Linked DNA regions of Caenorhabditis elegans. The protein of the gene in region 3 purifies or fractionates together with the protein of the main gene of each other region. This does not show direct contact. Each region holds a gene or a part of one and is shown on either strand. Other genes may lie near its edges.

Evidence for each region.
Region 1: the proteins of dpf-4 (region 3) and aco-1 fractionate together in Caenorhabditis elegans (co-fractionation; one large-scale study listed by BioGRID). This does not show direct contact.
Region 2: the proteins of dpf-4 (region 3) and R05C11.2 fractionate together in Caenorhabditis elegans (co-fractionation; one large-scale study listed by BioGRID). This does not show direct contact.
Region 4: the proteins of dpf-4 (region 3) and uroc-1 fractionate together in Caenorhabditis elegans (co-fractionation; one large-scale study listed by BioGRID). This does not show direct contact.

The regions. Positions count from the first base shown.
Region 1 is NC_003284.9:11,337,471-11,345,324, reverse strand, and holds aco-1 (Cytoplasmic aconitate hydratase), read right to left. Parts: upstream 5,452-7,854; 5' UTR 5,450-5,451; coding exon 5,359-5,449; intron 5,180-5,358; coding exon 5,011-5,179; intron 4,961-5,010; coding exon 4,823-4,960; intron 4,776-4,822; coding exon 4,706-4,775; intron 4,534-4,705; coding exon 3,725-4,533; intron 3,677-3,724; coding exon 3,388-3,676; intron 3,341-3,387; coding exon 2,762-3,340; intron 2,682-2,761; coding exon 2,163-2,681; 3' UTR 1,998-2,162; downstream 1-1,997. Other genes in the region: Receptor-type guanylate cyclase gcy-9, read left to right, coding at 7,456-7,567, 7,621-7,750, 7,795-7,854. UniProt on the Caenorhabditis elegans protein: Catalyzes the isomerization of citrate to isocitrate via cis-aconitate. Has probably no RNA-binding activity.
Region 2 is NC_003282.8:2,055,817-2,062,198, forward strand, and holds R05C11.2 (DUF38 domain-containing protein), read right to left. Parts: upstream 3,296-6,382; coding exon 3,180-3,295; intron 3,132-3,179; coding exon 2,387-3,131; intron 2,341-2,386; coding exon 2,062-2,340; 3' UTR 1,562-2,061; downstream 1-1,561. Other genes in the region: R05C11.4 (Protein shisa-9), read left to right, coding at 1-62, 112-278, 854-892.
Region 3 is NC_003281.10:5,856,147-5,863,520, forward strand, and holds dpf-4 (Peptidase S9 prolyl oligopeptidase catalytic domain-containing protein), read left to right. Parts: upstream 1-3,161; 5' UTR 3,162-3,199; intron 3,200-3,466; 5' UTR 3,467-3,485; coding exon 3,486-3,844; intron 3,845-3,901; coding exon 3,902-4,400; intron 4,401-4,537; coding exon 4,538-5,154; intron 5,155-5,208; coding exon 5,209-5,665; 3' UTR 5,666-5,762; downstream 5,763-7,374. Other genes in the region: alh-9 (Putative aldehyde dehydrogenase family 7 member A1 homolog), read left to right, coding at 1,063-1,269, 1,319-1,776, 1,825-2,550, 2,599-2,803; dnpp-1 (Aspartyl aminopeptidase), read right to left, coding at 5,845-5,938, 5,986-6,792, 6,842-7,259, 7,307-7,374.
Region 4 is NC_003282.8:16,535,078-16,545,288, reverse strand, and holds uroc-1 (putative urocanate hydratase), read left to right. Parts: upstream 1-2,539; 5' UTR 2,540-2,582; intron 2,583-2,921; exon of another isoform or gene 2,922-2,942; intron 2,943-2,965; 5' UTR 2,966-2,966; coding exon 2,967-3,092; intron 3,093-3,370; exon of another isoform or gene 3,371-3,395; intron 3,396-3,835; exon of another isoform or gene 3,836-3,862; intron 3,863-3,892; coding exon 3,893-4,164; intron 4,165-4,210; coding exon 4,211-4,352; intron 4,353-4,398; coding exon 4,399-4,527; intron 4,528-4,531; exon of another isoform or gene 4,532-4,552; intron 4,553-4,563; exon of another isoform or gene 4,564-4,584; intron 4,585-4,880; exon of another isoform or gene 4,881-4,901; intron 4,902-5,131; exon of another isoform or gene 5,132-5,152; intron 5,153-5,518; exon of another isoform or gene 5,519-5,539; intron 5,540-5,838; exon of another isoform or gene 5,839-5,859; intron 5,860-5,919; coding exon 5,920-6,212; intron 6,213-6,279; exon of another isoform or gene 6,280-6,300; intron 6,301-6,483; coding exon 6,484-6,825; intron 6,826-6,877; coding exon 6,878-6,999; intron 7,000-7,079; exon of another isoform or gene 7,080-7,100; intron 7,101-7,204; and 17 more.

The DNA.
Region 1 (7,854 bases), on a different chromosome or scaffold from region 3:
AATTGTGAATTTTAACAAAAAATGATGAAAACACGGAAAGTTGAACAACAACAAGACCGCTAGAAAAAGTACTAAAGTGTGTGCACCACGCGTGTGCCCCGGGCTGGCTACTTTCTCTTTTTCTCCCTTCTTCGCCACTCATTTGTCCAGTCTCTCGTCCAGCGGAATATTTTCCAATCTTTGAATGATGACCAGTGCATGAAACGCAAGAAGAAACCCGGAGGAGGAGGCGAAAAATGCTGAACAACGTGAAGGTGATGACAGCCTCCACAAAATATATACGCAAAATCAAACCGCGTGCGTGTTCTTCGTCATTTCAATTTTCTAACAACTGTCGATTCCGAATGTCTGGGTACATCACACACTAACAAATTAAACTTTTCTGTGTGTTTTTTTTTTCGCCCGAGGTTTTTTCTTTTTATATCAAATGATCAAGTTGGCAATCAAAAGCTAACCAATGTTTGAAATTGAATGAACTCAATGAAATTTTATACTGAATAAAGCTGCTTTTGAGATATCCATAAAATGCATACTTTCAACATATGAAGTGATTTTTAGGTTTATGACTTTCGGTTTTTAGTGACTTTTTTTCCGGAAAAATATTGTTAAACAAAAAAAAATATCTGAAATAAAAGCTATGACAAAAAAATAAGTTGTTGGGTTTTTTTTTTCAATTAATTTTTGAAAATTACAAATAAGGATGTTGAAAATATATATATATATATATAAATTTGACTTTCTTAAAACAAATACTGAATAACGATAATTTTTTTTTATTAAGGTTTAGTTTTTTCAAGTTAATATTCAAGATATTTAAATATAATTATTTTACAAATAATTCGAAATATGCATCGAAAAAACAAGATAATGGAGTAGGGAATGAAAAAAAGAATGCAGCAGAACTTCATTCATTAATTAATTTAAAGTGACAGTTGCAGTTAGCGGTCATCAAGAAAATGAGAGTTATGACTTACTAAGTCCGGAAAAGAAAACGAAAAAGCGACACTTGATGAGTGAAGTTGAAAAAGTAATGAGTCCGCAAAAACGAAATATTGTGTGAAAGAAAAGAGGCTTAACCGATTGTTGCATTCGTTTTCAAAATGGAGCGAAAACAAAAAACATGAAGAATTGTTTTTGCTTCAAACACCTCTTGATTTTTCTTTGTCAAGTATCGCAAAACACACAAAAATGGCGTGAATAACCTTGATACATGGATTGTAAATTTTTTACATGCGTGTTCCTTTGGTGGAACATGAGAAATTTTATCACAAGAATAATATAACATTTTGTAGAGGGAAAGCTTCAGAAATTAATTCCAAATCAAAAAGTGTCGACTAATAATGGAAAGGTGTTGCATTTACTCACAAAAGATTATACTTCCTCCCGACTCTTCTATTTGTTTGATGAACGGCTAAGCGGTCAATTATTACAGTCTTCATTCATTTCTCTGGCAAAGAACGTAAAGTTATGCAAAATTTACTTATTTTGAAATAAAAATATCTTTTGCGCTGGCAAGGGTCTCATATTACTTTAGTGATGTTAGCTATAGGGCAACTGAGATTTTATTGGGTGAGTGTGCACTTTTAAATGGGACTGAATAGTACGAATGAACTGCTGAAATGTTAGTCTATAAAAAGTCAGTTCAGTACAAATAAATACCGTAATCTCTCTGTTCATTTTGTTCAAACAACTAGAATGTTTGAGCTTTTACACCCAATTTTGTTGTTCTCAATGAAGATGTTTTCTTATTTATTTATACTCTTATGACTGAGAGAACAAAAAATACAATTAGTGATGACGACCTTTAAGAAAAAGTTGCAAAATGTTATATCCTAAACACTGTCAAACTGGAAGCACATTTCTTTCTCCTATAAATAGTAGAAATACGTTATTTGTTGAGTTTTAGTAAAATATTACGAATTTAAGTGGTTTTAGCAAAACAGAGACGCCAAAACTAAAATAAATTTGACCATCCACATGTTTTATAGCCCAATTATAAAAAGTATTGATTTATTTCGTTGCTCCAAATCACAAATTTATTGGACTTCAAACATGTTCATAAAATATCACAGAAAATAGAGAAGGATTGATGCATCGAAAAGTAAATAGTTATCTAAAAATAGAAAAAATTGACTTTCAAAAATTTAAGCTAAAATAACAGTTTATTGGATCAACTTTCTGATCATGTATTGGAGGATTCCTCCGTTGCGGTAATAGGTGAGTTCGACTTCAGTGTCAAATCTACAGATGACTTGGAAAACTGAACCATTGGATACATTCACATCAATGAGCTGTCCTGGCTTCAAATCGTCTGGAACTCCAATTGAGAATTGTTCTTTTCCAGTAAGTCCGAGACTATCAGCGTTTTGACCAGCTTGATATTGGAATGGAATAATGCCCATTCCAATCAGGTTGGAACGATGAATTCTTTCGAAGCTTTCAGCGATAACAGCCTTGACTCCTTGGAGGAATGGCCCCTTTGCAGCCCAATCGCGAGATGAGCCACATCCATATTCTTTTCCAGCAAGAATGATGGCTGGAATTCCGGCATCCTTGTACTTTTGAGCAGCGTCAAAGATGTCGAGCTCTTCTCCAGATGGCACATGGAGTGTAATAGGACCAACCTTCGACGCAAGCTTATTAACAAGACGAATGTTGGCGAATGTTCCACGAGCCATGATCTGAAATTTAAAAAAAAACGTGATGTGTTGTTAAATTCAAAGTTTTTAGAAAATCATATATTGAATGAATAAACTCTTACCTCATCGTTACCACGGCGAGCTCCATAAGTGTTGAAATCTCTTGGCGTTACTCCACGTCCAGCAAGGAATCTGGCGGCGGGAGAGGTCTTCGAGATTGATCCAGCTGGAGAAATATGATCAGTGGTTACCGAGTCACCGAGATTCAACAAAACGTGTGCGTTTACAATATCGGATTGTGATGGAAGCTCGCTAGTCATTCCATCAAAGAATGGAACCTTCTTGATGTAAGTAGAGGCATCGTCCCATGGGTAAAGCTTGACAGCCGGGCACTCCAATTGTTGCCACTCCGTGGATCCAAGCTCAATGTTAGCGTACACCTCGCGGAAGAATTGTGGCTTCACGAATTCCTCCTCAAACTTGGCAACTTCTTTTCTGGTTGGCCAAATGTCGGCTAGTCGGATTTCCTTTCCGTCAGGAGTAACAGCAAGAACTCCGTTAATGTCAACATTGACGTTTCCGATGATCGAGTAAAGAACAGCCAAAGGTGGAGATGCCAAATAGTTAGCACGAACATGTGGGTGAATTCTTCCTTCAAAGTTTCTATTTCCAGAGAGAACTCCGGCAACGACAAGGTTATTCTGAATAAACAATTATTTTGAAAAGAAAACAGTAGTTTCAACAATACCTCTTCGATGGCCTTTGTTACTGGCTCATCAAGTGGCCCAGAGTTTCCGATGCATGTCATGCAACCATATCCAGCAATATTAAATCCAATCTTCTCAAGGTATGGAAGAAGACCAGATGCTTCCAGGTATTTTGTGACGACTCCTGATCCTGGAGAGAGGGATGTTTTCACATATGGTTGGACATTCAATCCCAACTCAACAGCCTTCTTGGCAACCAATCCAGCTGCGAGCATGACACTTGGGTTACTGGTGTTTGTGCAGGATGTGATGGCAGCAATAACTACGGATCTGGAAGAAACATTATTTTTTGCATGTACTTCTAATTTATAGTCTTACCCGTGAGTAAGCTCTGCGGTTCTTCCGTGGTTGGTAATTGTGACAGATTTAGTGGCATCTTCTGGTTTAAGGCCAAAAGCTTTGAAGGAGATCTTATCAGTGAGCCCTTTGGAGAAATCTTGAGCCAGAGAAGCAAGCTCAACTCTGTCATGTGGACGCTTAGGTCCGGAGACACTTGGCACTACACTTCCAAGGTCCAATTTCAAAGTGGTAGTGTATGTTGGGCGGTAGGAGTCATCGGTGAAATTGACGAACATGCCAACAGACTTGAGGTATTGTTCCACGCGTTGAGTATAATCGGTATCACGTCCGGTTTGAGTGAGGTAGTCAATGGTACGGCTATCGACTGGGAAGAATCCAATTGTTGCTCCATATTCGGGGCACATGTTAGCAATTGTTGCACGATCGGCGATGGAGAGCGATGCAACTCCAGTTCCAAAGAACTCAACAAACTTTCCAACAACTCCGAGATCACGAAGGTTCTTTGTGATTGTAAGAACCAAGTCGGTACTGGTAACGGTATCACTGAGAGTTCCAACCAATTCGTATCCAATAACTTCTGGAATAACCATGGAAATTGGCTGTCCGAGCATCACAGCTTCAGCTTCAATTCCTCCAACACCCCATCCAAGAACACCACTTCCATCAATCATTGTGGTGTGGGAGTCGGTTCCAACGACGGAGTCAGGGTAGAGAACGCCATCCTTTCCAACAAACACTGTTCTGGCAAGATATTCAAGATTAACCTGATGGACGATTCCAGATCCTGGCGGTACAATAAGAAGATTGTCGAAAGCTTTGGATCCCCACTGAAAATAATTTGATAATACAATTTCATTTAAGCTATCTGAATATTTGTGTGTTCATTGAACAAAGTAGTGATAAGGGCAATCAAATGCATAGCGTGATTTTCCGAAAAGTGATGGGGAGAGTAAAACGTGACAGTGAAACTCTGAAAGTGGCATTTTCACCTTTCCTTACCTTCAAAAAGTTGAAGCGTTCTCTGTTTCGCTCAAACTCAATGGACTGATTCTTGGCAAGGGCTTCAAGGCTGAAAAAAATACAATAAATGTATAAACCAGGTTGCGCAGAACGTACTTTCCGTAGTGATCGACTTGCACGGAGTGATCGATGACAAGGTCAACTGGGCATACTGGGTTGATCTTGGCCGGGTCAGCACCCATATTTTGAACGGCGTCACGCATAGCGGCAAGATCTACGACGGCTGGAACTCCACTGAAAATTGCTTGATGTACATAAATTTGGTAATTTATTTTCAAGCTCACGTAAAATCTTGGAGAATAACGCGTGCTGGTTTGAAAGGAATCTCAGCTTGGTTACGCTGGCTGTTTTTCCAATCAAGAATGGTTTCCACGTCCTTCTTCAATACATGGAACTCATCGCAATGACGAACTGCGGCTTCCAACAAGTACTTGATGGAGATTGGAAGCTCGTCTGAAAATTTTGGGAAGGTTTTTAAAGAAAATGATTTATATATGACTTTAACATAATGAATTTATTCTTGCTCGTCGAAATTCGCTGTTTTTTTTTTCGTTTACAAAAGTTCCAAAATTGAATATATGCAGATATATTTTAGATAGATTGAGAATAGGATGTAAAATAGTTATACTTACTGTAACGAGCATCATTGAGACCATTCAAGTCAAAGTATTTGTAGACGTTATCTCCGATAGCCAAGTTGCGGATAAGGTTGTTGAAAGCCATATCTGGAAAGTTAGATATGGAAAAAATTTAAAAAAAAAAGGATTTCGATAGAAAAGAACGACAAAAGTGCATTGTAATGAAAAAGAGAATGCGAGGAAAACTAATGGAGGCGTGCCGAATCGGTGTAGTCGACCTGTCCGTTTTTGTGTGTGTCTGAGCGCGCTTAGTGTGTGTGGCTGTATTGAATGTGAGAGCGTTTTGTGTATGTTGTGTATGTGTGTGTGTGTGCCAAGGTCGGTCGAAGATAGTCATCTTTCATATCAGCTAGGACGAAATTGCGTCGTTGTCCAGTGTTTCTAGAAGGCTAATGTCGAGAAAAAAGGCGGCGAGAAAAAACGATACCATCTCAGAACTCAAGAAACAGTCAAAAAAGGTAAATGTGCACAGTGAAATAGTGTGCGGTGGGAAGAGAAGAAGAGGGCCGATCTGCATACACGTTGCGTACTTGACCCAAGAGGTTACGACAATGTTGCAGTGTGGTTTTTTTGAGAATTGAAACAATGCGCTCTCAGACATATTGAGAGATAAAAAGAAAATTCAGAGATTTGTGTCCGATATTTTTTATCTTTTGTTATCATTGATATCAGATCATTTAAAAAAGATTATCAAGTGGGAGAACTTTGCACAGATTGATGGTGAGGTGGAAATTCCTTTGGGAAACTGAAGAGCAAAAATTCGTTTTATTTTTCAAAAAAAAAAACATTTGAAAAAATGCAATCGAATCCATGCTATAACTAAACTAATACACTAGAATCTAGAATCACTAGAATCTGTAGTTCACAAAATTCATAGAGTACGGAATTTCTGTTAGCGTGACTAAAATTTACTAAGTTAAAAAAACAGAAGATGTTTGAGCACAAGCTGGTTGGTTTTTTGATTGATATTTTTGTTTCATATGTCTCTGTTCTTCATGATAATTTACTATATATAATATAAAGCGCTTATTCTGTGTGTCCATAGTTTGTAGTCTATGTAGTCTTTGTAGTCTGTGAAGTTTTGACTTCTGGAGGGATAGTGAGTTGGGGTTAGTGTAGGGATATAGTCGGGGTACTGTAGTGGTACAATAGTGGTACGGTAGGAATACTGTAGGGTTACGGTAGTTTCATAAAAATTGATTTTCAGCCCTAGAAGTCGGGGGCCGCGCCGAAGGTGCGGACCACGGCTGGTTCATAATATTACAATTACCGTTTTTCATAGTTTACCGCGTATCATTGTATAACCATGTTTTATTCAGAAAGACTTTGCATATATATTTTTATTTGATCCCAAGTTGAGATTCATAGAAACGTATTTTATTAAAATTGGTCTCACAATCATTCCCCGTATTACCTCTAGTAGCCTTTTAAGTTGTAAAAAGCAAGACAAGTGCTAACATGTGTAAACGTTTTGAACAAGTCTAGGTTTATTTTTTCAGGAATTGAAGAATTATCTGAAAATTCTACAAGGTACGCCTTGTCTTGTCCCGAATTATTGAAATACTGATTGAAGTTCTAATATTAGGATGACTCTTAGAAATGCAAGAAAATTACACACTGTATAACTAATAGGGAGTACACTTGGTAAATGAATAACACTGTTAAAAATTCTGAAAACTACCAAAAAAAAAACTCGGCTTGTTTTTTTAAAAGTATTTTCGTGTGTTTCGATGATGTTGCATTAGACAGTGTCATAGTTCTACGCTGAGATCCTATTAATGTATTCACAACAACCTAGTCATCAGTGTACATCAGAAAAACGTAGGATTCGACGCTTGTTGTGACACACACTTGCCTTCTTTCCATTAAACCCCATCTATCCACTTCCGATGGGCCCTTCCGGCATGATAAGAAGTGAGTGGCTACATAAGACTTCACACCTCCTTCGGAGATTCATCAATCCAACTACTCCGAATTTTTTACATTTTACTTCTACATATATTGGAATTCGTTCCATCAACACATTCCTGTAAAAAATATATAAGAATTGTTACTGTTTGCGGGATAAATGCCCCTCATATGAGATGATAAATGCGTTTATATTTATTTTTCATTTCTTCTTTGCTACTTGCGGAGTCAAGAAGATCTATCAGTAAAATCAGTCATGACGAAATCAATCAACATGTGAAAACTACACTTAGTTGTGAGCAATCTTTTTCATAAAATACATATAAAACAATTATTGTTTTGTTTCAGCAGAAGGGATTGTTCGAATAGGTCACCTTCACCCCACGAACCCTATTATAGCACACGAACCAGATGTTCTAAAAATGTGCGCAGACGATTTGAAAATGAGAAATATTCTTCCACAAAATTATACTTTAACGTAAGAAGTTTGAATTTAAAAAAAACAAGTCTTTCCAATTTTAGTGTTTTTACAATGGAAAGTTGCAACAAGTATTCGGGAGTTGAACATGCTGCTTTCCTTCA
Region 2 (6,382 bases), on a different chromosome or scaffold from region 3:
AATTGTGACAGCAATAGTTTGCAAAAAGATTCCCGGGTGTCCAATGTATCAGAGTATTCATAGTAAGTTCTTTCTTTTTCACGGAAAGTTTGAAATTTCCACCAATTTCAGTGATAACTCGATCGAATGAGTCACCATCTGCGCTCTACCGTCCGGTAGATCAAATTCCGCCAAAAATGTACGAGGCACCGCCTCCCTACGAGTGTTTTGTACCCCCGCCGGTGGTTGCCACGTCATCAACGGATAATAACGAATGGAATTGCATACTGGAAAATGAGGTATGTGGGAGGAGTTTTGATTTTGGCGCCAAAAATTATACATTTAAAAAATTATTAAAATTTCAAAAATTGGATTCGAGAAATATAAATTAAAAATTTTTAAATTTGGCGCCGAAAATTAAAAATGCGAAATTTATTTGAATTCAACGCAAAAATCATAAAGAAAATTTTGAAATTGCACTAAAAGTTTAAAAAATCTCGAAATTTTTTAAATTGGTGCCAAAATGTAGGAACTTAAAATTTTGAATTCAAAGTCAAAATTTAAAACTTTGAAAATTTGGAACTTGGCTCCAAAAAGTGATTTTTCAATTTGGTGCCAAAACTTATTAATTTTACAAATTTCAAATTTGGCGCGAAATTCGAAAATTTTTGAATTCTTACATTTTGCCGCCAAGTAAAATAAAATTCGTTTGTGCCAATTTTCAGATTTTGAATTTTATAATTTTGTCGGTTTTTTCAAAAATTTCGAGTATATAGTTTTTGGCGCCGAAAATTCAAAAATTTTCCATTTGGCGGTAAAAATTTCAAATTTCGCACGGAAATAGTTACAAATAAAAAAAAATCAATATTTTCAGGTAAACGGATCCCGTAGGACACCTCCTCAAATCTCCTAATCTTCCTTTTTTTTTCTAAAAAATTATAAAAAAAATCCTCTCTTCAAATTTAACGGGTCTTGACACGAAGTACTCTCACATTTTAGCATGTTTTTTTTAATGTAAGATATTGAATTCCCCGCCCCCCGGATCATTTGCTCAATTTCTTCTATGAATTTATTGATTTTTTTTCAATCACCCGGCTTCTTCAATTTTTCTGTATTTTTGTGATTTTTTTCGAATTTTTTGGTTAAAAATTCATCATTATTCGGTGCTTTTTCTCATGTGCTTCTTTCAAAATTCTTCCATGTTTGTTGGAATATATGGAATTTTTATGTAAAAATCTTCGATCTCTGCGCTTTTTGCTTCAATAAAAAAATTTAATACCGCGGAAACATTCGTTTGAAGAAAATTTCTTAATTAAGAAAAAGTTCAATTATCACCTTTTCCAGCAAGTTTCCAGCTTGAAATTTTTTATTTATTTAATTATTCAATCATTTCTCATAGTGAGACTTATTATTGATTTATGCTTTCATTTTGTCAAAGTGCGTCCATTTTGTATATATATATATTTTTTTTTTTTTTATGTTGCACAATATTTTCAGGTTAAACAAATATTTAGATACATTTAACTTTACCGTAAAATATGAAAAGGTGCACAGTAAATTGAGAATAATTAAGAAATAAATGTTTAAATTTATTATAAGTGAATTTATTTATTTATAAAAATAGTACGTGAAATATCTATATCCACGCCATTAAAAATTATATTTAAACGTACAAAAGATTCATGCACATGAAAGTATTGTTTAAATTAGGGTTCCCAGCTGAGTGAGGCGCAAAATGCGGGCCTCACGCCGGCCTCACGCCGGCCGGCCTTCGCCTTCGCCGTTCGCCGCTTTCAATAATAATGACGTGAATTTTAAATTTTAATTTTCAAAAATTCGTTGAAAATTTAGAAAAAAAATATAAGAAATGAAAATAAAAGTTTATGTGTAATTCAGTGAAAGGCGAGAGTGACGCCGTGAGGCCGGCGCGGCGACCGCTGAGGCGGGCGAAGGCGCCTTTGCGGCGACCTCATGGGAGCCCTAGTTTAAATCAGGTGAAAAATTAATATTTGAAAAAAAAATCATTAGGGACAACTTTTCGTCCCGTTGGCGAGGAACAGGGAAGTGACCTTTACAACAGCTCTAGCACCTAGCCGGACTAGATTCCCTCGGAATAGCCGGACTAGATTCCCTCGGAATACGATTAAACATGAATTTTTTAAGATTTTGATAATATCGAATTTGTAGATCATCTGTGTCGTTCATGCAATTGAAAAACCAAATGCTAGGTTGATTATTTGTAGAATCGGTAACTATGCGAAACGGAATTCCCAAAAATCCTTCTTGAAATATAGAATTATTTACGTCACTGTTCACAAATGTGACCTTGAACTGGAGAAAGTCCGGTGAAACTAGGAACATCTGAAATTATTTTTTTTTAAAAATTACATGAGATATTCGAACTCACATCTCTCAAATATATAACATTTTTCAATGATAACGAATCCAAAATTATGTCAACTTTTCTGAAGTGAACAAGATTTTCAACATCACACTTGATAACACGCTTAATAATTGTCAACTCTTTCGCATTCCTCCATTGTTCCATGACCAAAAACTCTTCAATGCTCCATACATCACTTGCAGGTACGTCGAAAGATGTTCCAAACTCAATTTTGTTCAGCTTAGAGGGATCCACGGATTGGAGCAGTTGCACTATGGTTTTTTGGTTTCTTGTTGTGACAACCAACTTTTCCACTGGCAGCAATCGACCCAGCGAGGCGTGCAAATCTTTGAACGATTTCAAAAATCGATTCTCATTCTGGTCCCAGATTGAATGACTTTCTGTTTCCTGGGGATTCCCCTCAATTTCATCCATGTATTTTTTTTCTTCTTCCGTAACATCCTTGAAACTTGACTCGCTGGTTTCATCAACTTGCATAAAATTCATTTTAAGTTCTTCCAAAGCAGATTTTTGATTTTTCAAAATAAGGAACAAGTCGTTTGAAAAGTTGCCGTAATCCAACTCGCTAGATTTTCTGGATAATCTTGAAGCCTTATATGAAACTTTTCGGTTTGTGGATTCGGTAAACATCTCAAGAAGTGCGCACCCAATGCTTTGAACATGAATGCCGATTTTGAGTAATTTATGGTCTGGTTTGATAAGGTCGATGCACTGACGGCTTCCATAAGAAATTTTACGGAGCACTTGTCTGAAAAAATAAAATTCAAGCTAAAAAAAATCAAAAGACTTTACATACATATCAAAAAAATCGAGACGTTCAACAACGCTGTTCATAATCACAGTGTTGTAGAACCACAAAGTGCTTGATATCGATGAGCCAGAAACTTCAGACAAAAGCTTCGTTTCATCCATTGTCAGCTGCTCTAGCTGGTTCTGAATAGTTGCATTGTTAACAATAATTTCGTTTCGTGCAAGTATTACACTGTAGGAGAAATAAAATATGCCTGTTCTGTGCTAACTCTAGCTTTTTCTCGTGTCGGGCCATAAATTGAGCAAGATTTTGGCAAAACTTGGTTTAGGTTGCTCTTGATCTGCCACTCTTATCTAATTAGGAAATAATGTTAATTGGACATTAAAAAAGACAGAAGTGAAATGGAAGATCAGATTTTTGGCTACATGAGTTTTTTTGGGGTTACCTGGAACTTAGCAGAATAAAAAAGAATTTAAAAATGATTGCAATGTTCCTATTCGTGTATTTTTTTTTTTCGAAAGTTTTCGAAATTTTTTGTGATGTCTCATTATGAAATTCGGTGGTTTTGGACCAGTTTTAGTCTATTTAAGCAAAATATCCACAAACTCTACTCCCCCTTTAAGTTGATTCACAATTTGGAGAAAAATGCAAATTTAACGAAAATCTGAACTTTTGCCATGATGTCAATGTTATGCCGCAGTGACCGAAAGTTGAAATAATTTAATTCGCACTCTAGTTTGCATGTGGTAATTGGTACATTCAATTTCTAAGTCACAACATCTTGACAGTTTTTCCACACAGCAGGACACACGAATTCTTTTTCAGCATCAGATTTTGTCAGCTCCAAAACTGTTGTACAGGCTCACCTGCTAAAGGTCACTCTCTCGCAAAATATGTAGGAGGCAGTTATATTGCCTGTGTATCTCTACAAACTCAACTCTCTCTATACGCTCACAGGCCACTCCCGTTGTGGGGGAAAAACGGTCAAGATGTTGTGACGTAGAAATTGTAGGTACCAACTATGCTCACTTACCAATTATCAACATGCATAGTCGGTACCTTTTCACTAGTCAAGAACATTGATCACATAGAGTCTACAAATTTTCTGACCGAATATATGTTAATTGGAAATAAAAGAAAAGAGCCAAACTTTCGACGCTTTCACTAATTAAATAATTTTTCTGGGCTTCTTTCCGTTAGTTTTTCGTTGTTCTTTTTGTTGCATAGATTGCATAGCAAAAATAATTTATTCATAGGAAAATTGACAACTGACAAAATTGCCGAAAAAAAATCTAAATAACCCCTATGCAAATTTAGCTATTTACCTGTTAAGTTTTCCAGGTTTTCATAAATTCCCCAAATCCAAGTACTGCTCTAAAACAAATAATCTAAAAATTGTCCAGCTTGAAAAACAAATACCCATCTTCCCAACGTCTTCCAGGAAATTCTAACCGCAATAATATTTTCCTGCATTGCATCCAGATGTTAGTTATTGGAAATATATGAACATGCGAAACGGAAACCAATATTTTCTTGGAACATCTTAAAATGAATGAGATTAGTTTTTCTTTGTATAGAGCTTCTTTACACCTATTACCCTACTCATATGAGTTGATTAAATGTATGGGTACTGTAAGGGTACGGTAGTTAAACTCAAAACTGAACTGTTATTATAATTCTTGCCTACTAATATTTACTGTTGAATTTAGTCATTACGGCCCATTTTCTATTATTTAAAGCAAAAAAATTGACTCTACTCCAGTGGTGGGCGGCAAACGATTTTTTCCGGCTAATCAGCAAATTACCAGAATTGAAATTATAGGCAAATCGGCCAACCAGAAAATTGCCGATTTGCCGGAAAAAACACTTCCGGCAAATTGATATCCGACAAATCGGCAAACCGGCAAATTACCGGAATTCAAAATTCCCGGCAAATCTGCAAACCGGCAAATTGGCACAATTGAAAATTCCCGGCAAACCGGCAAATTGGCCGAATTGAAAATTCCCGGCAAATTCTCTAACCGGAAAATTTCAGGCAAGTCGATTAACCGGCAAAGTGCCGGAGTTAAAAATTTCCGGCAAATCAGCTAACCGGAAAATTTCCGGCAAAGTACCGGAGTTAAAAATTTCCGGCAAATCGGCGGAATTGAAAATTCCCGGCAAATCGGCAAATTAGCGGAATTGAAAATTTCCGGCAAACCGGCAAATTTGCCGAATTGAAAATTTCCGGCAAATCAGCTAACCGGAAAATTTCCGGCAAAGTGCCGGAGTTAAAAATTTCCGGCAAATCGGCGGAATTGAAAATTCCCGGCAAATCGGCAAATTAGCGGAATTGAAAATTTCCGGAAAATCAGCAAACCGGCAAATTACCGGAATTTAAAATTCCCGGCCAATCGACAAACCGGCAATCTGGCGGAATTGAAAATTCCTGGCAAACCGGCAAATTGGCGCCATTGAAAATTCCCGGCAAGTTGGCTAACCGGAAAATTACCGGAAATTAAAATTTTCGGCAAATCGGCAAACCGTCAAATTGGCGGAATTTAAAATTCCCGGCGAACCGGCAATTGCCGGAAATGAAAATTTTCGGCAAATCGGCAAACTGGCAATTCGCCGATTTGCCGTTTTTGTCGGAAAAAAATTTGCCACGCACCCCTGATCTACTCCACCTCTAACAATGACGTAATTCTGATAGATAATAAAAATCTGTTTTTTTTATTTCTAATTTTAAATTCAATAATCTCAAATCAGCATGTTTTCAAAATTACATTCAATACTCGAAACCTTGAAAATCTCAATATCAAAAAACCTTTTCACTTCTCCATTTTTTATGTGCATAAGCATAAACAACAAACATTTTTGCCCTGCCGCGCGCTCTCAAAAAAAAAAAAGGCGGCGGCGCCCCCCGTTTCTCCCCCGGGGGCACCCACGTCCATCAACTGTGGTGCTACTCATTGTGAAGAGCATGGAGCAACGAATGTTGTGTGTGTGTGTTTTAACACTTACTTTTTCATTTTTTTTTCATTCTCAATGTGTGTTCCTATATTATTTCTTATTTCTATTAATTGACCTGGTTTCCCCATTCCAGGAAATTCCAGCTCCAGCTCCTCTCACCTCCAGAGCCACAATTCAAAAATTGTGCTGTTTTGCAAAGAGGGAAGGGGGAGGGGGATACATGGAATAAAAGCCCCCATATTCTTGTGCCTCTAAAAAAGAATCTCAGAAGATGCGGGGGGCGATTCCCAGTGGGC
Region 3 (7,374 bases):
CAGCTAAGAAGGTAAGCGTTTTTATTTGAAAAAAATTACCGGGAATTCAAATTCTTTGCAAGTTTTTCCAAATTGGGATTTATTTGAAATTGCTCAAAAATGTAATGCATTTTGCTTAATACACTCTACAGTGAAAATAACATTTTAAAACATTTACAATTAAGTTGACACAATAATTCCATGTTGTTAGCTTTCCCGTAGTTAAAAATTGTGCGAGAGATTGAAATTTGTGCGAATATTCGCCTTTTCAACGAAACATATACAAACTAAGTGGATCTGTGTTTTTATTTGAATTTCTGGGAATTAATTTTATCCTGAAGTTATGTATAAGCCGAATAGCTCTTTTTGTGTCGAGCAAGCGACTGCAATTTTCCACAATTTCCATTTCACAAATTTTAGTGGTCACTGCATTGTGTTCTTCTTTATCATGGTTGTCTTCATATCATCATTGATTCGGAAACTAAATATATATCAACCGGCTGCACGCCTTCTTTGCCGCGAATACGCAGAATACTACTATTCCGCAGATCACGACTGAGAAAATGATATTTATGACAAGGGAATGAGTTAATATTAATAATCAAAGAATTATTATAATTATCACGAAGTGGTTTCATATTTTTAATAGTCACGTGACTCGTCATTTCTTCGTTTTTACCTCGGACTGGCATGCCGCATTTTTTTTTTCATGAGCTATGAGCGCATTTTTTGAAAAATGTTTCTGCAATCAGATATATAAAACGTTGCCTGCCATAAAAACACAACTTGTAACCGCTGTAAATCATTAGCCTTGTATCATGTTCCACGTCATAAAATTTACAGCATTCTATAGTCTTATAGATATTGATCTGCAATCTGTCCTTGAATTCCTTGATTAACAATCAATTTCATCTCAGTTTTCGTCGTCATAAACAATCTGCCCGTGTCTCGCTCCGCCCATACATTTCATTCAATCTCCTTCGAACATTTTTCAATTCATTCTTGTTTTTTGACCACTAACCTCTTCGTTTTCTAATACCTTCTGTTTCAAAGCGTCTAACAATAATATATTTTTGTTTCCAGATGAACCGATTGTTGAGCAGTGGAATGTCTGCAGCTACCTTGCAGACCAGAATGGCGTCGCAATTGCTGATCAACGATTCAAAGTACGGATTCCTGAAAGAGCTTGGTCTCACGGAGAACAACGCCGGAGTCTTTCATGGAAAATGGGCGGCGAGTGGACAAGTTGTTCAGTCATTTGCTCCAGCAAATAACTCCCCTATTGCTAATGTAAGTTTCAAAAACATACCCTAAACGTTTTAAAACTTTCAAATTCCAGGTACAAAATGGAAACGTACAAGACTATGAAATCGCCATCTCTGAAGCTAAAAAGGCTTATAACGATTGGTGCGAGGTACCAGCACCACGACGTGGAGAAATCGTCCGTCAAATCGGAGACAAGCTCCGTACGCAGTTGCAAAACCTGGGAAAGCTCGTGTCCCTCGAGATGGGAAAAATTTCTGCCGAAGGAGTTGGAGAAGTTCAAGAATACGTCGATATTTGCGACTACGCTACTGGACTCTCTAGATCACTTGAAGGAAAAATCTTTCCTTCTGAGCGTCCAGGACACGCTCTTCTCGAACAATGGAATCCACTTGGAGTTGTTGGTGTGATTTCGGCTTTCAATTTCCCATGTGCAGTGTATGGATGGAATAACGCTTTAGCTCTTGTCACAGGAAATTCTGTTGTCTGGAAGCCAGCTCCATCCACACCATTGACAGCTATTGCTGTGACCAAGTAAGCTCGCTTATTTCATAATTGTAATCACTAAATAACTATTTTCAGACTTGTCGAGGAGGTTCTTGTTGCCAATAATGTAAATCCAGCTCTCTGTTCCCTTGTCTGTGGAGAGGGTGATGTCGGTCAAGCTCTTGTGAAGGATAAGAGAGTCAATCTAGTTTCATTCACCGGTTCATCAGAAATTGGAAAGATCGTTGGACAACAAGTTCAGGCTCGTTTCGGAAAGCTTCTACTCGAGCTCGGTGGAAACAATGCTATCATTGTTAACGAGGATGCTGATTTGAACATGGTTGTACCGGCAACAGTTTTCGCCGCCGTTGGAACTGCTGGACAGAGATGTACAACCACGAGAAGACTCATTGTTCACGATAAGGTTTACGATCAAGTTCTCGAGAGATTGAAGAAAGCTTATGCTCAATTTGAATCAAGAATCGGATGTCCATTGGATTCCAACACAATTATTGGCCCACTTCACAACCAACAGGCCGTTGGAAAGTACAAGGCTTCAGTTGCCGAAGCAGTTGCTTCTGGAGGAAAGATTGAGTACGGTGGAAAAGTTCTTGAGAGGGATGGAAACTTTGTTCTCCCAACAATTGTCACTGGATTGAAGCACGATTCTCCAGTTGTTCTTCGCGAGACTTTTGCCCCAATTCTCTATGTTCTGAAGTTCTCAACCCTCGAGGAAGCTATTGCAATCAATAATGAAGTTGATCAAGGATTGAGTTCTTCTCTATTTACAACAAATATTCAAAATGTTTTCAAATGGATGGGGTGAGATTTTCTGAAATTGTGAATTTAAAACTAACATTTAATTTTCAGACCAAAAGGAAGTGACTGTGGAATCGTCAATGTCAACATTCCCACATCTGGCGCAGAGATCGGAGGAGCCTTCGGCGGAGAAAAGGAGACCGGTGGAGGTCGCGAATCAGGATCCGACTCCTGGAGGCAGTACATGAGACGATCCACCTGCACGATCAATTACAGCAAGGAACTTCCTTTGGCTCAGGGAATTAAATTCGAATAGCTTAGTTTAGATTTTCTGTAAATATTCATTTCTCATTCAATTTGAGATGTTTTTTTTTCATGCATAATTATTCTCAGTTCCGTTCTAAAATTGCGTGTAATTCAACTCTTGTCCTCTCCTTTTGTGATTTGAATTTTTGTGCCATATCATTCCAAATGCTTAGTTTTTTTTTTAATGTTTGTTCAATAAACTTCCTTTTTTATTCATTCCACAAAATAAAGTGCAACATATTTTCAGCATATATGTCATAAAATTGACGAGACTGGTGAAAAACCGTACGCATACTTGAAAACCGATAAGCTGATTGGTTTCATCACTTTAAGTCATTTCCTAAAACTATAAATTCAATTTCACGCAGATTCTTCTCCGAATCTTCCGCTTGTTTTCTGCCCCAACGCAAGTTTTACTTTTTTTAAATACAATTATTATAATGATGGCATTTTTGTATGTTTAGGTGATGCCTGTTTTATAAATTAAGAGTTTTTTCTAAAAATGTTTTTAAACAACTTTAAACTAATCCACTTAGAAAGTCTGTCAAATTGAATTTTATTGATTGTTTTGGAAACAAACAAACCTCACAATTACAAAAACGCTTTCATTGTAAATATTGACGAATTTATCTCGAATATATTTATTTTTCTCTTAAAATAACTATTTTTACAGCATAAAAAGTGCCCGAAAAATGGCAACTGAAGCTGTCTACGGAAGTTGGGATAGTCCGATCACACCAGATCTCTTCGGAAAATGTAATTGCAAGTCTATCTGCGAGATGCAAGTTGTCGGTGGCAATGTCTACTGGATTGAACAGAATTCAGTAACTGGAAAACGAGAGCTTTACTCAAAACCAACGAATGGAGATACTCGTACACGCTGGGCTGATGGTCAATCTGTTCAAACTGCAATTCACGAGTACGGAGGAGGTGCTCTACATGTTCTTGCTGATGGATCAGTGCTGTTTGCTACGATCGAAGGAGTTTTCTATCAAAAGTCGGCGGATTCCGGAGTTGAGCAATTGGCAGAAGGAAATAATCGAATGTTTAGGTCAGGGATAATTTAAATGGTGTATAACTTTCAAAAATAAATAAAAAACATTTTCAGATTCTCCGACTTCTCAGCCACTGACACCCATGTATTTTGTGTTAATGAAACCCACCAAGCTGATGCAAAATTTCCCGAAAATCGACTAATCTCCATCGACCGAGCAACCAAGAATCAAAACGTCATAGCTCACGGAGCCGACTTTTACGCCTATCCAAGAGTCTCCCCGGATGGAAAAAAGCTTGTCTGGATGCAATGGAGCCTTCCAAATATGCCATGGGACGAGACATCCATCCGAATGGCTGATCTCAAAGGTGGAGAATCCAGCAATGAGGTGACGCTGAAGGACGGAACTGGAAAACAAATCAACTATTCCGAACCAACTTGGGATGGTGATGAGCTTTTAACTGTGAATGATAGCACAAACTGGTGGAATGTGTATAAATCAGCTGCAGAGCCAAATTCCGTCGAGAAGAACCTGAATCCAATTCAACGAGAGATCAGCTACCCGCTTTGGCAGCTTGGTTTCAGAAATTATGTTCTGAATAAAAAATATTTGGTGAGAATTTTAGATTGGAAATTCAAAACATTCTTCAAATATTTTAAACCTAAGTTTACAATTTTCAATATAATTAGTTGAACTAAACACAAAAATTCGAATTTTTAAATTGACCTAATGAAATTTAAATATTTCAGGTAATGAACGCAGACGGAATTTTGTATGTCCGATCGGGAGATGTTACTGTAGAGATTCCAACTCCAGGCTATACTGTATTTGGATATCTTTCACTCGACCAGAATGGTTCTGATCTTTTCGCAATTGCTTCTGGACCAAAACGAGCTTCAAGCGTTATTTCCATCGATCTCGCGAACAAAAATTTCCCATTAAAAGTTCATCGCGAATCCCGAGATTCTTCGGAAATCGACGCTCTCGAGATTTCGGAACCAGAAGAATTTGTGTTCAAATCGGATGGAGTTGATGTTTCTGGTTATTTTTATCCACCGAAAAACTGTTCATATTCTGCTCCAGCTGGAACACTTCCTCCAGTTTTACTTCTCGGACATGGTGGCCCGACGGCTCCAGCTCAGAATAATTTGGATCTTAAAAAACAGTTCTTCACGTCGAGAGGTATTGCTGTTTTTGATGTAAATTATCGAGGATCAACTGGATTTGGAACTGAATTCCGGAGAATGCTTTATAAAAATTGTGGAGTAGCTGATAGAGATGATATGTTGAATGGAGCAAAAGCACTTGTTGAGCAAGGAAAAGTGGATGCCGAAAAAGTTCTGATCACTGGAAGTTCATCTGGAGGGTAGGAATTTAATATTATAGTCATTGTTAAAGTTTTATAAATATTTTTATTCAGGTATCTGATTCTGAGCTGTCTTATCTCACCGAAAAATATCATAAAAGCAGCAGTTTCTGTGTATGGAGTTGCTGATCTATTGGCTTTAGATGAAGATACTCATAAACTGGAAAGATGTTACAATGAGATGCTTATCGGAAAATATCCTGAGCAAGCGAGCATTTACGAAGAAAGAAGTCCCATTTATCATATTGATAAAATTAGAACTCCTATTGCATTCTTGCATGGAAGGGAGGATACGGTAGTACCGATGAGCCAATCTATCACAATGTATGAGAAGATCCGTGCTAGTGGAGTTACAACTGCTCTGATGCTTTTCGATGGAGAAGGACATGGATTTAGGAATGGACAAGTGATCAAGGAAAGCACCGAAGCCACTTTCTACTTTTTGATGAAGGCCGTTGGAATTGAACCATCAATTAGTTCGAAGATCGAAATTGTTAATCCGAAGCATTAGATTTGTTTTTGTTTAAATTGTTATCTATAAAATTTCAGCTTTTAAAAAATGCATTGCTTTATTTATTTGAAAACCAAATAAATTATAGAAATTAATATTCACAGAGAAACTGAAGATTGGATATCACGACGCGATTAAATAGTAGAAATTATGATTGGGAAGGATCAACATTGATTTGCCTATTGCATGTTGGAGAGGACAGTTGACAGACGTTCGTAGAATGTAGAGTAGAGAGTGGTGGCCTGGTAGATGCTCGAAGTGTCGGCAAACTCGCTGAAATCAAGAAAATAAATGATGTGATTTAAAAGTTAAATCCCTACCGAATCGAGTGCATAGCCAACTGTGGGCATCCTACATCGACAGTCTGCAAGCCAAGTTTTGTGGCAAGAATCGGTCCAACCGTCGATCCACAAGGAGAATCATTGCGAACGACGACAACTTGAAGAGGAACTTGAGCTTCGAATGCAACTTGCTTGAGAGCAGCGTGTGTGGTTGAAGTTGTTGCATATCGTTGATTGACGTTTACTTTGACGACGACTCCACCATGGAATGCTGGACGATGGTTCTCTTCGTGTTTTGCCGAATAGTTTGGATGCGTGGCATGAGCTTGATCTGCAGAGATGAGCATGCTCTTTCCGATTGCTTCTTCGAAAGCGGTTGTTGAGCCTCCAGCAGAAAGACGGCGGAGAACGAACTCCGTGAAAGAAGAAGATGCTCCCATCGCGGAATCCGATCCTACTTCCTCGTTATCGAAGCATGCGGCAATACGAATTTGTGGGTCATTCTTGAATGACTCTCCAGTTAGAGACTCGAGAAGTCCACTTATCGCAGTGTATGTTCCAACTTGGTTATCAAGACGAGCTCCAGAAATGAATTCATCCTCCATTCCAACAATCGCAGCCTTGTTTGTATCGTAAAGGTAGAGATCCAAATCAACGATGTCTTCTGGCTGACATCCAGCTTCCTTCGCGATTAATCCGAGGAATTGGGGATGATGATTGTTGGTAATGTTTCGTGGATCGGCAAAACCAGTAGACTCGGGTTTCTGTGGTGCATTGATTCCAGCAGCAGCGAAGGTTTCCAGAATCGGGCGGAGCTCAGTTTCCGTGTTTGGTTTGAATGTTGTTCTGAGAAATAAATTGCAAAATTAGGACGATAGTGACAAATTTCAAATACCTGTCGGTCTCCAAATGAATCGCCAAATTTGGAATGAAAAGAACTGGCTTTTTCACGTCGATCAGCTTGTGTTGAAGTTTCTCTCCATTCTTGACAATAACCAATCCAGCCACCGACAAGTCACGGTCAAACCAGGTTCTCCAGATTCCACCTCCGTAAGTTGATACACCAACTTGAAGGAATTTATCAGACTTTTGGTGGGAAATTGGTTTGACACGGAGGCATGGACTGTCAGTGTGTCCCACAACAATCGAGAATCCACTCCCTGGCTTGTAAGATCCTCCAACAGCGAATGCAAGAATTGCAGAGCGGTTCTTGGTGACAAAGTATTTGCTGGTTGGCTGAATGTCCCAGTGACCCGATTCTGGAAGCTCTGTGAAACCGGCTTGTAGAAGGCGATCCTTCACTTCTTGGGTGGCTGCAATTGATATACTTTTGAATATAAAAATAAATAATAAATATTACCATGAAATGGAGTAACTGCTTTATTCAGATAGTTGATGAACTCTTGTGCAGCTTTGCGGATCTCCGGA
Region 4 (10,211 bases), on a different chromosome or scaffold from region 3:
CTCAAAAAATTTTTTTGGTATTCAAAAACTATTTTTCAACAGCCTACAATATAAAAGAAATAAATTTAACTTTTATATTCATTCACAGCATGGAGCATAGAACTGACAATGAATAAAGCAAAGAATCATGTTCACTTTCATAAGATCTAGTTGAAACTGTCAAATCCCACGCTTCTAGAATTCAAAATTATGCAATTTTATTATGCAAATTATATAGGTTTTTCGTAGATTTTTGTTTTTTGTCCAAATTATTAATGTACTGAGCATAAAGAAATTGCACTTGTACATAACAACTAGTTGAAACGGTTTTTTAAGTTTACAGTCTCACAGACAGTTTCAGCTGAATTCGCGATTCTGAGCTTGGTTTTCATTTCAAAATTCAATTTTTATTATTAGGGTTCATTCTGTTTTTTCGGGCAAAAAGGAGTTTTTCAAAAAATTGTATTTTGTAGTCGTAAAAATTAATTTAAAAGTTATAATTTTTTTTGGGTTCAGAGCTCAAAAAAAGTTTTTTTTGCCGTAATGAACTAAACGGAAAAAGTCTTAAAAACTTTTATAAAAGCTAGTTGAAACCTTAAAAAACGGTGCAAGAATTGAAAAAAAAAACTAATTTCATAGTTAAGATAGAAGTCGGGTTAGCAACCGAACAAAAAAAAGAAATTTCTTGTACATAAGCTGAAACGGTAATTTAATTTTTTTTTATTTTTAGGATGTTCCCGATGAAACATAATTTAGTGGAGCTCCGTCATGTTCTGGTAGTCCAGCAACATACCTAAAGTATTTTTTGTATTGTTTTTTGTTTTTGGACGAATTTTAATTTTCAGTCGGGGAGTTTAAAACAAAATTCGTAGTTTTTTTTTTTGGTTCTTTTACTAAGATTTTTACTAAATCAAAAACAAATGCCATTTTTATAAAAACTAATTGAAACTGTCAAATTGTAAAAATCTGTTTTTTTTTTCAAACATTGTGATTTAATTACAAACTTGCAGTGCCGTTTACATTCCATATTTGGATTGGATTAGAATTGGATCTTCCATAATAGGTAGGCGCGGTTTCAGGGACCTGACGCCTGCCTCGAATCGCATTTTTACGTTTTTTTCTCATTTCAATAATTTTGTTGAAAATCAAATTAAGATATGAAAAAACAAATAGTTCGTGTATGTTTTAGAATAAGGCGCGTATTGAGGCAAGAGGCAGGCGGAGATCGCCTTAAGGTCAGGCAGGTGGGAATTTGAACGCCTTCATGGAAACCTTAGTTTTTGTAATTAACAAGACATTTTGTAATTTACAGCAAATATCAGAAAAAGATTAATGAGAAATAAGAATGTTCACTAGTACATAGCAGCTAGTTGAAACTGCGATTTTATTTTATAGTCTCACGTTCAATTTGAGCCAAATTTGCGATTCTGAGCTTGAAGTAAAAATTGTGCAGGTGGTTTGGGTATACCGTGAGACTATCCAATAAATTTACAGTTTCAGCGTGTTGTACATAAGAACACGCTGAAACTGTAATTTAATTGGATAGTCTCACGGTCAATTTGACCCGTGTTTCGGGTGTTCCCGTAAGAAACATAATTTTCTAGAGCTCTATCTTGTACTGGAGCTCCTCAGAATCCTGGTGGTCCAGCAGCACACCTGGAGGACTAAAGTGCTGAACTGTTCTCTTAAATGTTCTGTTTTTTTTCGGGCCAAAAACCAAAAGAAAACTATATTTCAAAAAAAAAACTTTTTTATTTTTATTTTTGATCAAAAACTTTTTTTGGTAAGACCTTCCTCCTGTATTTTTTTTCAATTTCAAAAATTCTGCAAGAATTCAAAATGTTGTAATTTTAGTCGCTTCAGTGAGGAAATATAAAACTGCATCTACATAGCAACTAGCTGAAACTGTAATTTTTTATTTCATAGCCTCACGGTTAATTTCCACTAAATTCGCGTTAAATCCAATGTTCTATTTTATAATTTTTTATGGATGCTTTAAGCAAAATTTGGTATTTCTTTTCGAAATTCTTCGGACCAAAAAACAAACAAAAAACAGAAAAAACTGTTTTTCCAAAGATTTTAATTCGTTTTACAGTTTTAACTTACAAATGTGATGTAGGTAGTAAGCAACAAATAAATTGCAGTTTTATAACAACTAGTTGAAACGGTCAAATTTATAAGCTCTGAAAGTTGTGTTTCCAATAAAACTCTTAATATATATCACCGATTTATAACAACTAGCGGAAACAGTAACTAAAAAATTAATTTTATAAATAATTTTAAAGTCCCAATGTTCTATTTTCGAATTCTACCCAATCGCGAGATTCTGCATTCAGATCTTATCATCTTTCTCTTCCAAATACACACACACACACCTTGAAACTAACCAATAAAAATGCAATCATCCGACCGTTTCGTCGTCGTCAAGGATCGTAACCTGGAACCAGAAGACGAGAATCATCAAAACAGAGAATTTTATGGCGGTGATCTATTGGGCGGGAAGGAACATACCACGTGGGAGAAGGGGGAGGAGAAGTCGAACATTCACGAGAAATCTTTCATTGCTGATCAGAATAAGTTCGGTTTTGTTGGCAAATTTTGAGGTTAGTTTTTTGATGAGTGCCGAAATTTTACCGAAATTTGGAATTCGGCAATTGTCAATTTTATGAACTATACCAATAAATTGTATTAAAACTTCTAGAATGCTCTAGAAAAATCTGGAAACTACTAGAATTTTCTAGAACAAAACTGGAAACTTCTAGAAATTTCCAGAGAAATCTATAAACTTCTGTAATTTTCTAGAAAAATGTGGGAACTTTAAGAATTTTTTAGAAAAATCTGGTAACTTCTAGAATTTTCTAGAAATTTTTTTTTAAATTTTATTTTTTAAAAATTACTGTTTCATCACATTGAGAAAATGTTTTTACTGTTGATTTTTCTAATTTCGTATACTGTTGACTCGGTTTGTGAAGACTCAATTTTCCAGCATGAACATCCCATCTCTCTTCGTCGACCCATTCTCTCCGCTCCTCGAGCATCCAACGGAGCAACGTGCCAAGAATGTGGCTCACGCACCAAAGCGTCCGTGTAATCTTACACAGACAGAGAAAATGGTAATAAATTTATCTTTGAAAAGATAAAAAAAATGTACTGTTTCATTAAAAACGTTTAGGCACTTGACTTGGAATTTTTTCTTTTCAAATGAATTTTTTGAAACTGCAAAAACAGTTTCATTGTTTCATTGAGCGCTTTAAAGAAGACTGTGAAACATAATCTTTGACAAGTTGGCTGAAAATGAGCCTAAACTAACAAATTTTTTAGAAAAATTTGGCTAAACTCTGAAATTTTTTGCCTAGTTTTTAATAAAATTAGCTTTTTTTTGTTGCATCAAGAAGTTTAAATGCTACACTGACTAACTAATAGAACTTTTTACAAATTGAAATGCAATATTTGGAACAGTGAACATTTTTACCTTTAATTTTTCAAATCTACTCCTAATTATGGTAAACTATTTGCAATGAGATCAATGTTATAATTTATTGTTCCGACATCTCCCGGGTTGCACAGTGTTCTCTGTGCTCGGCGCAATTTGGGAGATACCAATTAATTGAATGAAGTTGTTGTGCCAATTCTAGTTCAGAAAAAAGTAAGAGAAGACTGTAACAAAATTTACAATTTTTTTGCAATTTTGGAGCAGTTTTTGAAGTCGGTAGGCTATGTAGTTTTCGAGATCAAGAACAATCAAGAAGATCAAGAATCAGATCAAATTTTAATTTAGGAGCTGAAAAGCTGTTGGCTATTAGTTACAAAAGTCTGTTTCACTTACTTGATAAAATACAAGTGGAATTCCAAAATTTATTGTTTCGAACTTCAATGCAGGTCCCAACCAGCTTCAACTATAAAATTCTTCCAGCTCGCCGTCCGCAATGCTCTCCGCTACATTCCAAAAGAGCATCACGTCCTTCTAGCCACCGAGTTCGCTGAAGAGCTCAACACCTATGGACACATCTATGGGTATCGGTTCATGCCAAACTTTGATCTATTCGCGCCGCCCGTCTCGGAGATCGGAGCTCATTGCGAACAAGCATCGGCTATCATTTTGATGATTCTAAACAATTTGGACAAGCGGGTTGCCCAGTTTCCACAGGAATTGGTGACTTATGGAGGAAATGGTCAAGTTTTTAGGTTAGCATGGGAATCTTTCTGAAATGCTTGAGAAATGATATTTCAGCAATTGGATCCAATTCCGTCTGGTTCTTCGTTACCTCTACACAATGACTGACCATCAAACTTTGGTGCTCTATTCCGGACACCCATTGGGCCTATTTCCATCAACCCCGGACTCGCCAAGAATGACTGTTACTAATGGAATGGTAGGCCTTTGGAAACTAGGATGCTTCGTACATTTTGACATTTCAGATGATCCCGAGCTACTCGACAAAGGAGCTGTACGACAAGTATTTTGCATTAGGAGTGACGCAGTACGGACAAATGACTGCTGGAAGTTTCTGTTATATTGGACCACAGGGAATTGTACACGGGACTACGGTAAGCCGTTAAATGGAGTTTGGCATTAAAACACCGTATTACCGTCAAATTTAATGAACACACTAAAACAGTCAAATTTATTTTGGAAAATGGGCAAAGCAGAAGGTTTTCAGTATACAACGGTTTTAGATGGAATTTCAAAGGCAAAAATTCAAGGATTTCAAGATTTTTGTTTTTTTTTCTGAATATGATTCTTGTCATTTATATAATCCAAACTGCACCAATGTAGTAGAGAAGTGACTCAAAGAAAACATGTTATTTCTAATAACTAACTCAGCCCTAAAATATACGGACACTGTGAAACATTAAATTTTTGTAAATTTTATTTTTTTTTTTAAATAGTTATATAATGAACCAAAGCTGAAGTTTTGGCATTAAACACCTTATTACTGCCAGAATATATGAACACACTGAAACAGTAAATTTTATTCTGGGATATGGGCTACACAGAAGGTTTTCAGTATACAACGGTTTCAGATAGTATTTGAATGATTTTTGTTAAGTTTTTGTGTATTATTCTAGTTATTTTATAATCCAAACTCCACCAAAGTAGTAGAGAAGTGGCGTCAAGAAAACTTGATATATTGCTTTAATTTATAGCGGTGTTCTCTTGAAAACCTTCCTAATAGCTAACTCTCTAAGTCCTAAAATATGTAGACACAATGAAACAATAAATTTCTGAAATTTGTAATTTTTTTTTCAAGAGTTACATAATGAACCAAAGCTGATAATATTTTGTCCCACTGAAAAAATTTACTTACTTCAACTAACCACAGTATTTATTAAAGAGTGATAATTTAACAAAAATTTAGTTCCAGACACTTAGAAGATGACAAAATTTTTGATTTTAGCTGAAAATGAGACCTTTTTTATCAGAACTTTGAACCGCCATAACTTTTTTTTTTGAGAAATTTTCAAAATGTCTCGTTACGAAATTCAGTAGTTTTTGGGGAATCTTGGGTCGGAAAAAGCAAAATCTCAGATTTCGGTACTCCACCTTAAATAGAGTCGAATAGCTATCTTACAAAGCCCTAAAATATGTAGAAACTGTGAAAAAATAAATTTTTGTAAATTTTATTTTTATTTTTTCAGTAGTTACATAATGAACCAGAACTGATAACATTTTTTTTTAATTTGAATTTCGTAATTTTCTTAAGGTTTTTCAAAATTGACTTATTAGAAGCAGAAAGTTGAAAGTCTTTTCACTTTATAATATTTTAAAGAAATCTAAATGATTCGAGACCAGATGCAACAGATTACAGCTTTTCTACCCATATAGAAAAATAGTGACGTCACTATATGAGTTTTTCTCGATCTATTCTTCTTGTCCGATTAATTTCATCACAACTCTCCTGAATTTCTGAACCCCCTGAAACAGTAAAAATTCTCCAGATCACAGTCCTCAACGCTGGTCGTCGTATGGGACTGGATTCCCTTGCTGGTAAGGTTTTCGTAACTGCAGGACTTGGAGGAATGAGTGGAGCTCAACCAAAAGCAGCTAAGATTGCTGGATGTATTGGAGTTATTGCGGAAATTAGTGATACTGCATTGTTGAAACGTCATCAACAGGGATGGTTGGATGTATATTCGAAGGATCTTGAGGAAATTGTGAATTGGATTAAAGAGTACAGAGAGAAAAAAGAGGCAATTAGTATTGGATATTTGGGGAATGTTGTTGACTTGTGGTGAGTTTTAGAAAATTTTACTGTTTCAGAAAGTTGTTAAATTTTTTTATGAAAGTGTGAAAGGCGATCTACGGAGCAAGAGGGAAAATAATTAAAGGAAACGAGAAAAGCGGAAAAAATTGTAATACAAATAATATATCTCATAGTTTCGGAACCAAGATTTTTTTTAAATTACAGAATTTTTTACAAAGATTTTTCACAATTAATAAACTTGGTAAAACATTATTCACAAAAATTCTAGACAAAAAACTATGAGTTTTCAAAATTCCAGGGAACGGCTCGCCGAGGAACCGGAATGTCTTGTAGAACTGGGAAGTGACCAAACTTCTCTCCACAATCCATTCCTTGGAGGTTTTTACCCTGCTGGACTCACTTTTGAACAATCCAATCAAATGATGACTTCTGATCCTGTAAAATTCAAAAAACTTGTTCAAAACTCTTTAATCCGCCAAATCGCCGCCATCGACAAGATTGCTGCAAAGGGAATGTACTTCTGGGATTACGGTAATGCTTTCCTTTTGGAATGCCAGAGAGCTGGAGCCAATTTGCTCAGAGAGGATGCTCAGGATGATAAATCGTTTAGATATCCAAGTTATATGCAGGATATTATGGGGTAATAATTATTTGAAAAGAGTACAATTTAAATAAAATAAATTCTGTTTCAGAGACATCTTTTCAATGGGATTTGGACCATTCCGATGGGTTTGTACTTCTGGAAAGCCGGAAGATTTGAGATTGACTGATCAGACAGCATGCAAGATTATTGATGAGTTGAAGGATACTGATGGTGAGTGCTTTTATGTTGTAACAAAAAAATCGACTGTTTCACTATGGCTATATGTATGTTCACTATTTTGAGAAATTTGATGGGTTCAGTGTGTGTATCTTTGAAATTTAGTACTAATCTCATAAAATTGAGCATTTGTTGGCGAGAAATCATATATATGCTGTTTCATATTGTCCATAAAACTGCCGACGAATTTTGACTTTAATTTTTAATATTTGTTAGGAAATTTAGGGATGTGAAGCTGTTGAAAAAAAAAAAGAAAAACGAATAGCCAGTGTAATATTCTTGAAACCGTAAATAACTACTAAATAAAATAGCGTACTGTTTCGAGAAGTTTATATAATTTTCGCTTTTTGAAAGAGGTTATTCCGGAAATATTGCTAAAAAAAAGCAGAAAACTTCTACAATTTCGCATAGTCATTAAAGTATGTTCGATTATTTTATTTTATTAATTTTGCTGAATTAAAAAATAACATATTAAAGGTGGAGTACCGAAATTAGTGACTCTGTTTTCTTAGACCAAAATGAGTCCAAACCTACCGAATTTTGTAATGAGACGTTCTGAAAATTTCTCAAAAAAAAAAGTTATGACGGTTCAAAGTTTTAGAAAATAAGGCCCATTTTCAGCTAAAATCAAAATTTTTTCCAACTTCTCGGTGTCGCAACGTCTGGAATTGAATTTTCATTTATTCATCACTTTTTAATAAATATTGTGGTCATTGATTGGGCGTTTATTCGTTGATTTAACTACATTTATGGTCTTTGGGGCACAAATAAAAGTTACATTTTGTGCCTCACTGACCATAAATGTACTTAAATCAACGAATAAACGCCCAATCAAAGGCCACATTATTTATTAAAAAGAGATGAATAAATAAAAATTCAATTCCAAACGTTGCAACACCGAGAAATTAGATAAAATTTCGATTTTAGCTGAAAATGGGCCTTATTTTCTAAAACTTTGAACCTTCATAACTTTTTTTAAAGAAATTTTCAGAACGTCTCATCACAAAATTCGGTAGTTTTGGGCTCATTTTGTTCTAAAAAAACAGAGTCTCTAATTTCGGTACTCCACCTTTAAGAGTAGAAACATGTAGTTTTAGGGGAACTCATCAGGTTATTTATCAAATTTATGCTTGGAAAAGTTGAAAGTCTACCGAAAATGTCTTTTCCGCTGAAAAAAATTAACATCGTTCCCGGAAACCCGGGATATGTCGTACCATGATGAACAATTCACAAAGTGTCGACCGCAAAGCAAGTATACCAAAACGAGAGATAGGAGATGCGGTTTGAAAACAAGTTGAATTTGAGAATTTTTCACTGTTTCCAACTTTGCATTTTAATTTGTAACGTATTGTATTAGACAATTTGTAAAAAATTATGTTTTTTATTATCTTCAAAATACTATGATCCTGAATGAATTATTTGAAATGGGTACCCTTAACTTTAACAAATATTCGCTCTTAAAAATTCTGAGAAAATTTGCAAAAAATCACCACGTCTTCTTCTTGAATGGGTACCACTGAAAATTAATTGGGTTGTTATTTTTATTCCGAAATATACTCACACTGCTGCCAAGTTTTGAAACTTTCTGTTTCTAGCAGAGACATTGATTTTTTCATTTTGAGAACCAAAAATCGAATCATTATTTTTTGCTAGTTTAATAAGGCTGAGCAAATCAAACCACCAACTCCAAATTTCAAAGCACATTTATCATGTTTCATAGACTCTGTTAAACCAACGTTTCAGTCCCCGAATACGTGAAACAGCAATATTTGGACAACAAGAAATGGATAGAAGAAGCCGAGAAAAATAAGCTCGTCGTTGGCTCACAGGCACGGATTCTATATTCGGATCGTGCTGGAAGAGTTGCATTGGCTTCTGCATTCAATGAGCTCGTGAAATCTGGAAAAGTGTCGGCTGCAATTGTAATTTCAAGAGATCATCATGATGTTTCTGGAACTGATTCTCCATTCCGTGAGACTTCAAATGTTTATGATGGAAGTGCTTTTACAGCTGATATGGCTGTACAGAATTGTATTGGTAAGTGGATAGGGGCTACATATTTAAAAAAAAACAACAATTTATAATTTTTCAAAAATTTCACTGTTTCGCATTGTTCACAAAAATGAAATCAATATTGAGTAAAACTGATCCACAATGACTGTTTCCTTTCCATTTCAGGTGACTCATTCCGTGGTGCTACATGGGTTGCCCTTCACAATGGTGGAGGTGTTGGATGGGGTGACGTCATCAATGGAGGTTTCGGTATTGTTCTTGATGGCTCAAGTGATGCTGCCCGCCGAGCTGAAGGAATGCTCAATTGGGATGTACCTAATGGAGTTACTCGTCGTTCTTGGTCTGGAAATGCAAAGGCTCAGGAAGCAATTCAACGTGCTGAAAAACAAGTTGATGGGCTTAGAGTTACATTGCCAGTGGAAGCTGATGAGGAATTGTTGAAGAAGTTGAAATTTTGAATTTTTACTTTGATAAATTGAATTTCTGAAATTAATTTTTAATTTTAAAAAATACTTCGTTCCAATAAAAGTTTATTATTGTGCTTCCTTTTTGCCCAAGTAATGACCGATTTTCAGAGCAAAAGATTACTGTTTCATTTAAGTTATAATTCTGTTATGTCATACCGGTACCAGTTTGGTTGTACCTTTAAAACTTTGGCACACATTTAATTATTTCAAACTTTAAAAAATGTGAGTGATGTTTCAAGTAGCCCATATAGGCAAGACTGCTGGATTGGACGTGATTTGTTTTTTTTTTCTAAAAACCCTCTCTTTAATATGTACTTATCTCTGATTTGTGTTTTCACGGATTGATTTATTACAGTGTCGAGTATACACAGTAAAATTCACTGTTGATAAAATATAGAACTTCGATATTCAACAATTTTCAGGTGGTGTATATATATTTTTCCACATTGCATTAAAGGCGAACTACCTTTTTAAATACATTTTTCGAAAAAAATGAGATTTTTTTCGAACTTTTTGAAGCAGAAGTTTTCACAAAACATTATTGTTTTAGTCTTCACTTACAATTTGTAATAGCAATGCAAAGAGAAAGTCAGTACTGTCTAACAGAACTCGCATCAAATTGAAATGCAACCCGTGAAACAGTGAACATTTTTGAAAAATTTCCAAGCAACTCTCTTGCGGAATCCGCTTCACTTCATATTCATTGGTTAACTATTTGAACTGCGG